Cricetulus griseus: one gene and its partners. The protein of the gene in region 2 purifies or fractionates together with the protein of the main gene of each other region. This does not show direct contact. Links are inferred from orthologs where the notes say so. Each region holds a gene or a part of one and is shown on either strand. Other genes may lie near its edges.

Region 1 (3,500 bases), about 130 Mb from region 2:
TTGAAGAGGGAAAGTGTCATGCTATTTAGAAGGCCAGTTTGTAAGTGTTAATTCCTCAAAGCTATGAGGCTTTTAAAAGATCAGCATCTAAACATTGTCCACATTTCTCTTTATCCACATTTGATTATAAATTAAAGCTATACAGACAAAGTTCTGAACACATATTTAGGAATATTTCTTAAAATTAGATTCATAGTACACTAGGATAACCTAGTAAGGAGAGAAAGGGCCAAACCTGGTTCATATCAACTGTCCAACTTAAGGCTGTGACTTCAGAATGGTGAACAAAACTAAATGGTTACCAATTCCTCATCTCCCAGCTACTCTGCCTGTGATGCAGAAAGGCCTGAGTACGTATGATATATCCAAGGGGCCAGCCATGTAGGTAGCCACTAGGGATCAACACCTGACTACAACTACAAATTAATTCAGTAACTAGTGTTAATTTGTGATCAAAGCAAGTTATTAGCTACTGAAAAGTACAAGAGTGACTTGTAGTGAAAGTGAAAGCCCATATTAATATTTAGAGTAGTAACATTCAACACTTTCCATAAGATATTCTCAATAAAAGGAAATCCATAGTGCTTCCATCTGAGCTATCCTTAGTATAAAAGTATTGGTTAGGTATGTTAAATGCAAGGAAGGCAAGGCATGAAGCTATTAGGATTATCAGCTCCAAAGATGACTAATCAATACTTACCTTTATTTTTTAAAACAAATGCCCTAAAACCAAAAATCTTAACAATTTAACTCCCCTTTTAATGTACAATGCTTTCAGTTTTGGGGTTGAAACAGGATCTCACTGGCTAGGCTGCAGCTTACTATGTTGACCAGGTGGGCATTGAATTGACACAGTACCGCCAGCCCCTGCCTCCCTAGTGTGTGTTATCATGCCTAGCTAAATGTCCTTATGTTTTATAAAAGACTGTTTTAAAATCAAAGCACTGGAGCTTAGTGATAGAGTACTTGGTTAGTGTATGTGAAAGAAGTCCTGGTTTTACTCCCCAGCATGGGGGGGGGGTCACTAATTAATCATAAAAACGTCCCAACTTTAGATCTGACTGTGATAGATACAGCATAAGAATGAAGATTTTCCCTTAATAATTTAAAATATAAATAACTGTTTTAAGTCCCACTAAACAAAAATGTAAAAAGTTCCTGATTGACGTTTAGGGTTTGACACTTTTTAGTCATTTCGTTCTATGGGGGGACAGAGGCTGGCTGTTGTTTGCTTTCCTTAATTACTTCACAGTCTTCCTCCATTTCAAAATTTATGTTCACAAATGAACTGGACACCACCGTTTCTGGTTGATCTGTCTGTACAATGGAACCAGGCTGCAACTTGTTCTGTTGGTACTGTCTTTCTGCTTCTTCAGACATCCTATTTTCTTCTTCTTCCTCTTCCTCCTTAAAAATAAAAAAAAAAAAAAAGAAAAGAAAAATTGGAAATGCCAGTAGTTAAAATAGTAATGTCCAAAAGGGAGCAAATTTCTTCTTTCATTAGCATCTTTTTCTTCAAAAACCAAACTTTAGTGTCATGTCTAATACTTCTGGGGTGGGGGTGTAGCTCAGTGGTAAAGTTCATGTCTAATATACACATAAGGATCTAGGTTTGATCCCTAGCACCACACAGGGAGGGAGAGAGGGAGGGAGGGAGGGAGGGAATTGAAAGAACTACCACCACCAAAACAAAACTGTCTTTTCCCATTCTCAAAGTAAAATAGTTAAAGGTGGATGGCCCAGCACTACTTAGCTAAATTAACTTACCCAATAAAGTAACAAATTAGCAACTATGACACTTGTATAACTACTGTGACACTTTAATTATAAGGTGTCATCCTAGTTAGTTAACAGGCTGATTCATTCATTAGATGGTATAGCATGGTTAGTTTTTCCCTAAGCATCTAATCAAGGTACAGATCATCCAGTTCTTGCCCTCAAGACCTTTGCAGTCTAAATGGAAGTTAAGATACAGAGAGAGGCAGCACAGAGACCACATCGAGAAACTGTTCAGTTCATAGAGGAGGTGGCACTGTATCTGGACCCTGAGATACAAGTCAGTACAGAGATACTCTGGTTTCTCTTCAGATCCTATAAATCTTTCACCTTTTACAAGTCAGTACAGAATGAGTGACCTCTTGGGAGGATTATCCTGAGATAGAACAAACTCCAGAAGCTTCTGAAGTGGACTGAACAAGCTCAGGAGGCTCGAACATGGCGCAGTGTTTTCTTGTTGGTTTTTGTTTTGTTTTTTGTTTTAAAACAGAAAACATGTTTGAGGGCTGTAGAAATGGCTCAGAGAGGTTAAGAGCACTGCCTGCTCTTCAAGAGGTCCTGAGTTCAATACCCAGCAACCACCCAGTGGCTCACACCCATCTGTAATGAGATCTGGTGCCCTCTTCTGGTGTGCAGGCATACATGCAAATAGAACACTGTATATATAAAAAAAACAAAACAAACAAAAACATGTTTGAAGCCACACAACAGAATAAAGGTGATCTTTCTAGGCTGACCTCCAGGGATAGCCCTCCAACAACTGCTTGCTGCTTACTGAGTGAACATACATCCTGTGTTCATACCTCTTTTGGCTTTACCTGACCTGCTCTGCTCCTGTTTCACTGAACCCTCTGGTTTACTGTGTGCTTGCCAATGTACACTAGGTGCTGTTCTGAGCATTTTATGCACTAACCCTAGGAGGAGATACAGTTTTCATGACAACAGGGATTTGAGGCTTGGGGAACTCAGTAACTACCTGATTACTTACACAGGGTGGGTGATAATTCTTCATTTTTTAAAGTGACAATATCAAACGGTATATAAAGATCAAATTAATATACATGAAAAGCCTCACTTATTAGCACTGACAAACAAAACCTAGCATAGGTTTTATACATTTACCTTAGGAAATCAGAATTTTGAAGAGTTCTAAAAATCTGTTAATTTAATAAACTAAATAAGCTATCTTCAGTGGTGGATTCCCTCCTCTGGCACGTGTAAGGTCCTGTGTTTAATGCCTAACACTGCAAAAAAACAAAACAAAACAAAACAAAAACAAAAAAACCCACAGGAGCTACCTTTTGGGCTCCTAGAGTGTCCACACACACACTGTGGGGCTCATCAAGCCTCAGGCAAACTATCAATAAAGTGAGAAAAGGAGACACACCTCCTTCTTCATCCGGTAATACTCATCAATGGCATACTGGTATTTTGGGGTGCTGATGCCCAAAACAGATGCAATCTTCTCTCCAAGAAAGTCACACACTAAAGATACAAAAGTTAAGAGACATACAGTACCATAAATCGTAATACTAAGAATACAAGAGTTATTGTTTTACCCTTAAACCCAATAAATTTATCCCCCTGTCTCCTCACTTCCGTCCTGGACACCAGTCTGTTGACATTACTATTTTTGCATGTTGAAGAACAGTGTCAAACTTACTCAGAGTACTTCTTAGAGATCCTCCACCAGCTTCCACAGTGCTGGTGTTAGATGTGAGCTA
Region 2 (5,625 bases):
TGAATCACAGACACAAACTCAAGATTCCTGTCCACTTAAGGACTCTGAGTTCAGCAAGCCAAAATGATCAGATACAAAACAGAATGAACTAAAAGTCCTAGAAAGAAAAGTACTGGTAAAAATACTAAAGAAGTTTACACTGGGAAAGGGCAAGAGCCACTTTTCTTAGGAGGTAGTTTTGAGAAATACATGTTTTCTTTCCTATAGAGAAGGCGAGAAGGCTGGAGAAAACACAAGCAGCGTTCTGAACAAAGATCCCATGTACTCTGTGGCTTCACCAAGTCGAGAACTGAGAACTATGGGGGGCGGGCAGAACAGCAGAGTCAAGACAGTGGGCTGGGAGCTGGGACTTTACTCAGTAATCTGAAGAGCTGGTTTTAAGCAGAGGATACTTCAGTGTCTCTACTTTCAGGCAGCTGTGGCAGAAATGTGAAGGAGGGACTAAAAGGAAGCTAGACCCAACTAAGGGCTCTTTTTCAGTCCACTGGTAGGTTAGTGTGGTAAAGATGAGAAGCTATGTATGGGCTCCATGTTATATGCACTGGGAGAGAGGGCAGAATCTTAGCAAACATTTCAGACACCTGGCAAACTGTCTTCTTTAGCCCTACATGGATCAGAGAGCCTAGGTTCAGAACTGGGGTTTGTAAGCTCTCAGAGCAAACACCATCTTGGAACTCAGAACATGGTTCATGCTCTATAGCCCTCTCCAGTTGGGCAAAAAAATGTGAAAAACTAACAGAAGGCTACAAGGAAGCAGAAGTTTGTAGGCCACTAGAATTTTCTACCTAGGTGGAAATGTAAGGTTCCTCCTCTCCTGTCTATTTTAAACATGTTTTCATCACCACAATTCTGTCACTTGTATTTTCATTTTTCCTACAACTACTGTATTCTTAAAAATACAGTCACAGACACTCTGTGTGCTGGTATATTCTTTACCATTCTTTTACTAAATTAAAAAGTGTATACTGTTGCCATCATCAGGCACGTTGCTCAACTGAAGAAAAGGCAAACAAATGGCAACACAAGGGAAAGGTGATGACCCAGATGGAGTACCAGAGGCCGCACTGCCAAGCGACGCCATTTCAAAAGCATCCAACTTACTTCACTCTTCATCATCACTTTCTACATAAAGCAGATGAACTGTTACGTCAACTTAAGAGGAACAGAATAATTAGTTTTAAATATCACCTTAGAAGGGAGGCTGGAAGAGGATTATCTTGATGAGGCTGGCCTGTGGGCGTGTAGGGGAGGCCTGCTTCACTGAGGTGGGAAAATTCAATCAACTGTGGGCTGGGCCCTCAGCTGTCTGTGCAGAACCAGCTAGTAAGAACTCAGGAGAGCACAAGCCAGCAGGCAGCATGGTGTTCCGTTTCTTTCTCTCTGCTTTGGACTATGGACATGGTGGTTTCAAGTGCCTTTAACTTAGTAAGCCAAAGAAACCTTTCCCTCCCCTGTACTGCTTGTCAGGTGTTTCATCACAGCTACAGAAACGAAACTAGAACAAATGGCACCACAAAAAGTCAGGAATAGTGGTATTTACCTATAATTCCAGCATTCAGGCTGCTGCAGAGGACCTTCAATTCAAGGGCAACTTGGGCTTAACAAAGCAATACCTCGTCTCAAAAAATACAGAAAGCAAAAAAAGAAAAAAAAGTTAGACTAGAAAGATCCAGACTTTAAGATCATCCTCAGCTACACAGTAAATTAAAGAGGCCAATCTGGGCTACGTGAGATGAGAACGTCTTAAAAATAAACAAGAATGGATCAAAATGTTCTACTGTCTATTCAGGTCCTATGGTTCCTCCACTGCGCCTTCAGACAGGATCTCATTGTGTAGCCTAATCCGACCTCAAATTCCCTCTTCTTTCTTCAGCTTCCTGAATGCTGGGCTTACAGGTGTGCACCACCATTCCCTTCTTGGACCAAAGACCATTTATAACAGCAACTTATCTTGCTGCAGTTGGACACAAATTTGGTTCCCAGTACTCACATGATGGGTGGCTCACAACTATCCCTAACTCCAGATACCCTCTTCTGACCTCAGCAGGCACCATGCATGAACAGGATGTACCTACTGTACAACACTGTACATATAAAAGTTAATGAATTAGGAGCTGGAGAGATGGCTCAGCGGTTAAGAGCACAGGCTACTCTTCCAGAGGTCCTGAGTTCAATTCCCAGCAACCACATGGTGGCTCACAACCATCCGTTATGATATCTGGTGCCCTCTTCTGGTGTGCAGATGTATATGGAAGCAGAATGTTGTATACATAATAAATAAGTAAATAAAATCTTTTTTTAAAAAGTTAATGAATTAATCTTTTTAAAAGATGGTGGGGGGGGCCGTTGTAGTAAGTTCTGCTGTCACAAGTTGCCAGCACCAGCCAGATGGTGGTGGTGCATGCCTTTAATCCCAGCACTTGGGAGGCAGAGGTAGGATCTCTGAGTTCAAGGCCAGTCTGGCCTACAGAGCAATTTCCAGGACAGCCAGGGCTACACAGAGAAACCTTGTCTCGAACAAACAACCAAACTTGAAAAAATTGCCAGCACCAATGTATTTTTAAAATTTTTTACTTATCACTGTGTGTGTGTGTGTGTGTGTGTGTGTGTGTCTAGAGGACAACTTTGGGGAGTCGGTTCTTTCTTTACCTCCTTATGTGAACTCTGTATGCTGAGCATCTCCCCAAACTCTTAACAACTAGCTTTAAAAACAGTTTGTGTTATATGCTGGTCATTAGAAATGACCCCGAGTCTACTGTTAACAGCTCCTCATTTTCTTTTTCCTCCAGTGGGTACATTCACAATACACTCGGACACCGTACAATCCTCAAGGAATAGTGGCATTTACCTGTGTGTGTCTCTCATAGGACCTATTCTGAACTGGGGAGATTCGCTTTGGAGAATGAAACAATTTGCAAACACTTGTGCCTGGGGTGTAAGTGCATGCACTCTTAAGACTTGAAAACGACCACTGACCCACAGAAAAGACTAAGAATCCCCGTCACCCTGGGGAATGGGGGCAGGTGCTCCCCAATGTGCTTCCAAGGCTGAGTGGCGGTGTAACATTAGCTCCATTTTATAAACAGCAGGAACCCTCGCGCCTTTCCAGGAAGGGACAGGGGCACCGAAATAAGTGACGGACAGGAAAGAGAAGGTGCAGGGGGAGGAGCCCCAGCCTCAGCGACACGTCCACCGACCAAAGCCACTGCGGAAGTCAGGAGTTCCCGCGGGTGAGGCCACCGCAGGGCCCGCCGCGGAGGAGGCTCTGCCCGGGCACACGGCCGCAGCCTCGCTGGGTCCCGAGGCCGACGGAAGGCGACGGGAGGCGCACCGAGGCTCGAGGGCAGACGCCGCTTCCGGGATGTGCGGACGCCGCGCCAGAGGCAGAGAAGACCCCGCCTCGGGGCCGCCGCCCGCCACTCACCTTCATGGGGTCGGCGAGGTAGAGCTTCTCGGCCGCGCGGCTGAACTCCTCCCAGGTCTGGAACTGAGGCATCGCGGCGGCGCGGCGGCGGCGGCGGCCACGGAGGGAAACCGCAGTCTCACCGGCAGCCCGCGCCCTCCTGCAACCGCCCACGGCGCAGCGCTCCGGCCGCACGAAGGGGGACGCCCACCAGCGGCCGCGCCATTGGCCAGCCTCCGCCGCGCCGGCCCAATGGGCAGGAGGCGTTGCCGCCGGGGGCGGGGCCTCCGCAAAGAGAAGTCGGGAGCCCGGAGAGGATGCGGCTGCCACAGCGCCACCTGCAGGGCTGGAGGGGCGGTGCCTGGGCACCCACGTTAAGGGTAATGATAAGGTCCAGGTGTCACGCTCACAGCCTAATCCTAACCCCTAAGGGGCTGGGGAGACAAAACAGGAGTGCAAACAAGAACTTTCTGTGATAGACTTCTGTATCGGTGAAATGGAGCCAAGAGGGGAGAGAGGCTCGCAGAAATATTACAAGCCAAGCAGGCAAGCAGAGAAGGGCGAAACACCTAAGCGCATTTTAGATCGCGGTGTGCTTAATATGACCAGTGTTCAGGAAAGGGAGGAAGAGAAGAAGCAAGGAGCGGACATCTGCTAGGATATGAAATTTGAGCCTGGGCGCCGGGCGGTGGTGGTGCACACCTTTAATCCCAGCACTCGGGAGGCAGAGGCAGGCGGATCTCTGTGAGTTCGAGGCCAGCCTGGACTACAGAGCGAGTGCCAGGATAGGCTCCAAAGCTACACAGAGAAACCCTGTCTTGAAAAACCAAAAAAAAAAAAAAAAAAAAAAACCCAAAAACAAACTTTATTGGGATATTTTTCTGTGCAGTGAACACTGTCTTTAACAATATACACTCATGAATTTTGAAAGAGTGCATACACACATCGCAACCCACGCCTAATGTCATAACCAATGTATGGGACATTTTTCACCTCCAGAAATCTCCTTCATGCTTCCTTCTATCCATTTCCTCTCTCCTCACTCCTGGTCCCACGAATATGCTTTCTTTTCCTATAAACTGCTTCCCCCTTTCCCGTGAACGTGGTTTTTGGTTTTGTTTTGGGTTTGCAGTGCTGGGGATGGCACATGCTAGGCAAGGTCCCTTCCACTCAGTTATAACACCGACGACTTTCTCCTATCTTGCCTCCCCTCCTCCTTTTCTTCCTTCTTTTTTTTTTTTTTGTTGTTCATTTGTTTGTTTGAAACAGAATCTCTCTCTCTGCCTCAACCTCTTGAGTAGCTGGGACTGTGCCACCAACATATACAAATCTTTATGTCATGAGTTTGAGGACAGCCCAGGCTATTTGGTGAACCCAAGGCCAAACTGGGCTACCTATCAAATAAATAGCAAATAATAAGAATGACGATAGTCCTAGCAAGAGACATCAAGGAAATCTGCAATCAATCTAATGGCTGGGGTGGGGTGTGGTGTGATATTTGAAGACCTGCTCAAAGGTTAGGGTTTTATGTTCCAGGTTCCAAGAAAGGCTGGGTGTTAGTTGAGTCATCTATACAAACGCAAAGTCACACATGAATACGAAAGGGATTAGATGCCTAAGAAGGCTCTGAGGCAGGAGCCCACATCCTTGATTAGTGCAAGGGACTTATATGTTGGGCAGTGGGAGCCATAAAGAACAGAAGCAAAAGAGACAAAGTCCAGTGAATGACCCTCCGGGAAGAGGAGTTTTAACATTTTAGTAGTATACATAATAACAGGTTTTATTACTGCATTTTGATCATATTCACCCCCTGGTGCCCCAGATGTCTTAGATTGGTCCCGCATTCTCTCCCCTGATCTTACTAAGCCCTCTTTTGCCCATGCAAATGAGTGAAAGGGCATAGAGTAGCACTGGGCATTTAATCCAAACTTTGGAGTCCTAATAATGCTCAGTTGCTTATCTCTTCATGGCAGAATCAACAAAAGCAGACTTCGGAGCTTACTATAAAACCTTGACCCTGGGCGGTGGTGGCACACACCTTTAATAATAGCACTCAGGAGGCAGAGGCTGGCATATCTGTGAGTTCGAGGCCAGCCTGGTCTACAGAGTTCCAGGACAGCCAGAGCTGTTACTTGGTGAAACCCTGTCTTCAAAAACCAAAATTAGAAAAAGAAAATCTTGCCAAAGTTTAAATCTTATAACCCTAATGCCAAATCTTACTG
Region 3 (3,500 bases), on a different chromosome or scaffold from region 2:
GCTGGATTGAAAGAGTATTTGGGAAATGTGGCAACGTGGTTTATATAAGTATTCCACATTACAAGTCTACTGGGGATCCTAAGGGATTTGCCTTTGTGGAGTTTGAAACAAAAGAACAAGCAGCAAAAGCCATTGAGGTACGTCTGTAGAACCCTGAAAATTAAAAAGAAAAAGATTAGTATGAATAAGTTTGCCATGATTTTTCCAATTTTCATTTCAGTTTCTTAACAACCCACCAGAAGAGGCACCAAGAAAACCTGGCATATTTCCTAAGACAGTGAAAAACAAACCCATCCCTTCCTTAAGAGTAGCTGGTGAGTACCCACCTAATTCTTAGGAGGTAAATATTGAATTGGTAGAATATAAAATTATTTGAACATTGCTGTTACAGAAGAGAAAAAGAAGAAGAAAAAGAAAAAAGGGAGAATAAAGAAGGAAGACAGTATGCAGGCCAAAGAGTTAAATATGGAGGACACAAGCGGCATGGGTGTGTGTAAAGGCAAGAGACCAAGGACTGCCTCTGAGGGCTCTGAAGCAGAAACTCCTGAAGCTCCAAAGCAACCTGCAAAGAAGAAGAAAAAACGGGAGAAGACTGAGCCGTCTGTCTTACCTGAAGTTAGAGCAGGGAAAAGGGAAAGAAGCAGTGCTGAGGATGAAGACTGCCAGACCCCCAGGCCAAAAGCCAAGAAGAGGGCGCAGAAAGATGGCATTAGCCAAGCCGCTTCTGAAATCTCCAAGGAAAGCAGAGGTACCATGTTGAAAACAGTGCAAACATTTTAGGTACTTCGCAAAGCACACAACTTGTCTTATGGCAAATCTTTTTTCTAGACTTAGAATTCTGCTCTACAGAGGAGGAGAAGGAGACAGGAGATAGAAAAGGTGACTCACTCCTAAAAGTAAAAAGAAAGCATAAGAAAAAACACAAGGAGAGACATAAAATGGGAGAAGAGGTTATACCGTTGAGAGTGCTGTCCAAGTAAGTACCAATTTTCAGTAGCAGTTGACAGAACTCCATCACCATTGCTAAAGTGCAATTCCAATTTCTATTTAACAGAGTTGCATATTAGCAACAGTGACGGCCTACGGTCCTTTGGCAATATAAAGATGATAAGTAGGAGCCACCACACTCAAACATGAAAGCACTTATTTTTATAAGGTCACAGCAAGTGCCTCCATGTTAAAGTAAAGGAGGCTCCTTAAGCAGCAATCAGTTAAGTCCTCTTAAAGGCTTGAGAATGGAAAAGGAAAGCTTACCATCACCAAAACATGGGAGCACTTACTTTCTTAATCCCAAAGCAAGTACATCCACGTTTAAGTAATGGGGAGCCCAGTCTTTACATTTACTAAGTTCTAGTCCTTAAAATGTAACATTTTTAAATTAAGGAAATGCTGAATGGGTTGAGACACCTCCACTGAAACATGGAAGCACTTACTTTAATTTAACACAGCAGGTATCCCCATGTTAAAGCAGAAGGGACTCCCAACGGGTTAGCTTATCAATGCTAAAGGTGTACATTGAATTCACTTCTACTAAAACTTGGAAGCACTTACTCTTTTTACAGTGAGACAGAAAGCACTCCCATGTTAAAGTTGAAGGGAACCCACCCACAAGGCAACTTCTTTGTAAAGCTAGGGTAACCTAGGAGGAAATTAAATGACAAATTACCTTTGTGAACTGGATCCCAAAGAATCTCCTTCTCTGCTTGGAGGGTAAAACACAGTGACTTTAGACCACTTGTATTTATACTACTCCTAACTCCTGAATTCCTTTTGGCGTCTTTATCTCAGAGAATCATTACAAGAGCCTTTGTTATTTTAATGTATCAGCATCAGCTCTCAGGGAAAGTAGATCCTGGGGATCCTGGGTAGGTCTGGATTTTTTTTTTTTTTTTTTTTTGAAGTAAACAGATGTCAATGTTAACTGCTAAAACCATTACCACAAGATACCCTTCTCTTTAAAAAAAAAAAAAAAAAAAAAAAACTCCTATCTGCTTGTTTGATGGCACAGATTAGGGTAACAATGAGCACTCCCACTGAGCCAGGAGATGCATTGTGCTTCTCTCTGGAGGAGCCCTGGCTGTTTGAAGAGACATCTACATGGTAAATGTATGTAAATAAATAAATTGCTACCATGGGGTGTTTTTTTCTTCTTAGAAATTCTTTTGATTCAAGTAAATCCTAAGGAATGTTATCTCTCAAATTGGAAGCAATTTAACAAATCTTTGAATTTTAGTTTCTCACTTTACCCCAAAGTTGCCTTATTTTGCTTTTACAATTAAAAATTTTAGAAACATATCAGGAACTTAACTGGGAAATTAAAGCATTTTACCTGAATATTTATGAAAAGGAACTTCATTTGTTTGTTTGCTAGATAGATTTACAGCCTAAAAACTAATTGAGTGCACCTTTTTAAAAGAAATGGGAATTTTTATGAACGTCTATTTCATTCACCTTCAGATTTCTCAATGAGTCATCTGGTCACTATTTCAGTAGTTCAATTTTTTGTTTTACAGGACTGAATGGATGGATTTGAAAAAAGAGTATTTGGCACTACAAAAAGCCAGTATGGCTTCTCTAAAAAAAACAATATCTCAAATAAAATTGGAGTCAGAAATGGAAACCGACTGTACAGTGCCCAACAAGTCTGGAGTGAAGAATGGAAAAGGTGAAGCTCACTTTCATAGCATTTAGTGTTATACTACACTGTGGACCCTGGGTGTAGGAGTGATAGACTGGATTCCCCAGTTTTGAACTGAACCATTACCAGAAAAAAAAAAATTTAAAGAAAGAAAAAAATTGAAGTGTTCATATTAAACAGTAGGCTTTTTAAGAGCCTGCTTACTCTCCATTACCAGCAAGTTACTCATGAGTGACTGGGCATAGTAATAAAGACTGCAGTTTTAGTAGAAGATGAACCCAGAACAGGGACATATTAGAGAATTATTATTGATTGTAACATTAGTAAAGGCTTTTTAGTTATAAATATTTTTATTTATTGTAGTTCATTTATTTATTTTACATCCCAGCCATAGCCTCCCCTCCATTCTCCTTTCCCAGTCCCTCCTCCCTATTCCCCAAATTATTACATTTGAATAGTATATTTTGAATATCCTTATATTTCTATTGACATCTATCTTTATTTGAATTTTATTCTTTGGTTCAGGGCAATAATGCATTTTATTTCCTATTAATTTCCAAATGAGCAGTTTGATGCATTAATATTAACATTACACAAGTTCTTTAAAGTCTGAGAAATCACTCCTGCTGTTGTAGAGTAGCTAGTGCTGCTCTGTTAAAGGTCAGGAGTGAGAAAATTTTTATCTGTAGCCTTTTCCTTTTCACAGTCAGCCATCCAGAATGCTGCACCCAGGAGAAGGTTAACAACCAAGGCCCACAATTCGTGAATGGAGTTATTGTGAAGATCATGAGCACAGAGCCTCTACCTGGCAGGAAACAAGTCAGGGTAATGTTTATGATGCCTGTGTAAAAACAAAACAAGA

What was found.
Region 1: the proteins of Srp9 (region 2) and Srp54 purify together in Homo sapiens (co-immunoprecipitation; 4 studies listed by BioGRID and IntAct, counting the BioPlex papers as one, with this or other methods). This does not show direct contact. The link is inferred for Cricetulus griseus from reciprocal best matches to the Homo sapiens genes SRP9 and SRP54.
Region 3: the proteins of Srp9 (region 2) and Larp7 purify together in Homo sapiens (affinity purification with mass spectrometry; 3 studies listed by BioGRID and IntAct, with this or other methods). This does not show direct contact. The link is inferred for Cricetulus griseus from reciprocal best matches to the Homo sapiens genes SRP9 and LARP7.

Annotation. Positions count from the first base shown.
Region 1 is NC_048598.1:147,159,152-147,162,651, forward strand, and holds part of Srp54 (signal recognition particle 54 kDa protein), read right to left. Parts: intron 3,262-3,500; coding exon 3,164-3,261; intron 1,408-3,163; coding exon 1,201-1,407; 3' UTR 1-1,200. UniProt on the Homo sapiens protein: Component of the signal recognition particle (SRP) complex, a ribonucleoprotein complex that mediates the cotranslational targeting of secretory and membrane proteins to the endoplasmic reticulum (ER).
Region 2 is NC_048598.1:12,258,605-12,264,229, forward strand, and holds the start of Srp9 (signal recognition particle 9 kDa protein), read right to left. Parts: upstream 3,600-5,625; 5' UTR 3,497-3,599; coding exon 3,425-3,496; intron 1-3,424. UniProt on the Homo sapiens protein: Component of the signal recognition particle (SRP) complex, a ribonucleoprotein complex that mediates the cotranslational targeting of secretory and membrane proteins to the endoplasmic reticulum (ER).
Region 3 is NW_023276806.1:31,277,390-31,280,889, forward strand, and holds part of Larp7 (la-related protein 7), read left to right. Parts: coding exon 1-137; intron 138-220; coding exon 221-314; intron 315-391; coding exon 392-748; intron 749-828; coding exon 829-976; intron 977-2,513; coding exon 2,514-2,665; intron 2,666-3,344; coding exon 3,345-3,463; intron 3,464-3,500. UniProt on the Homo sapiens protein: RNA-binding protein that specifically binds distinct small nuclear RNA (snRNAs) and regulates their processing and function.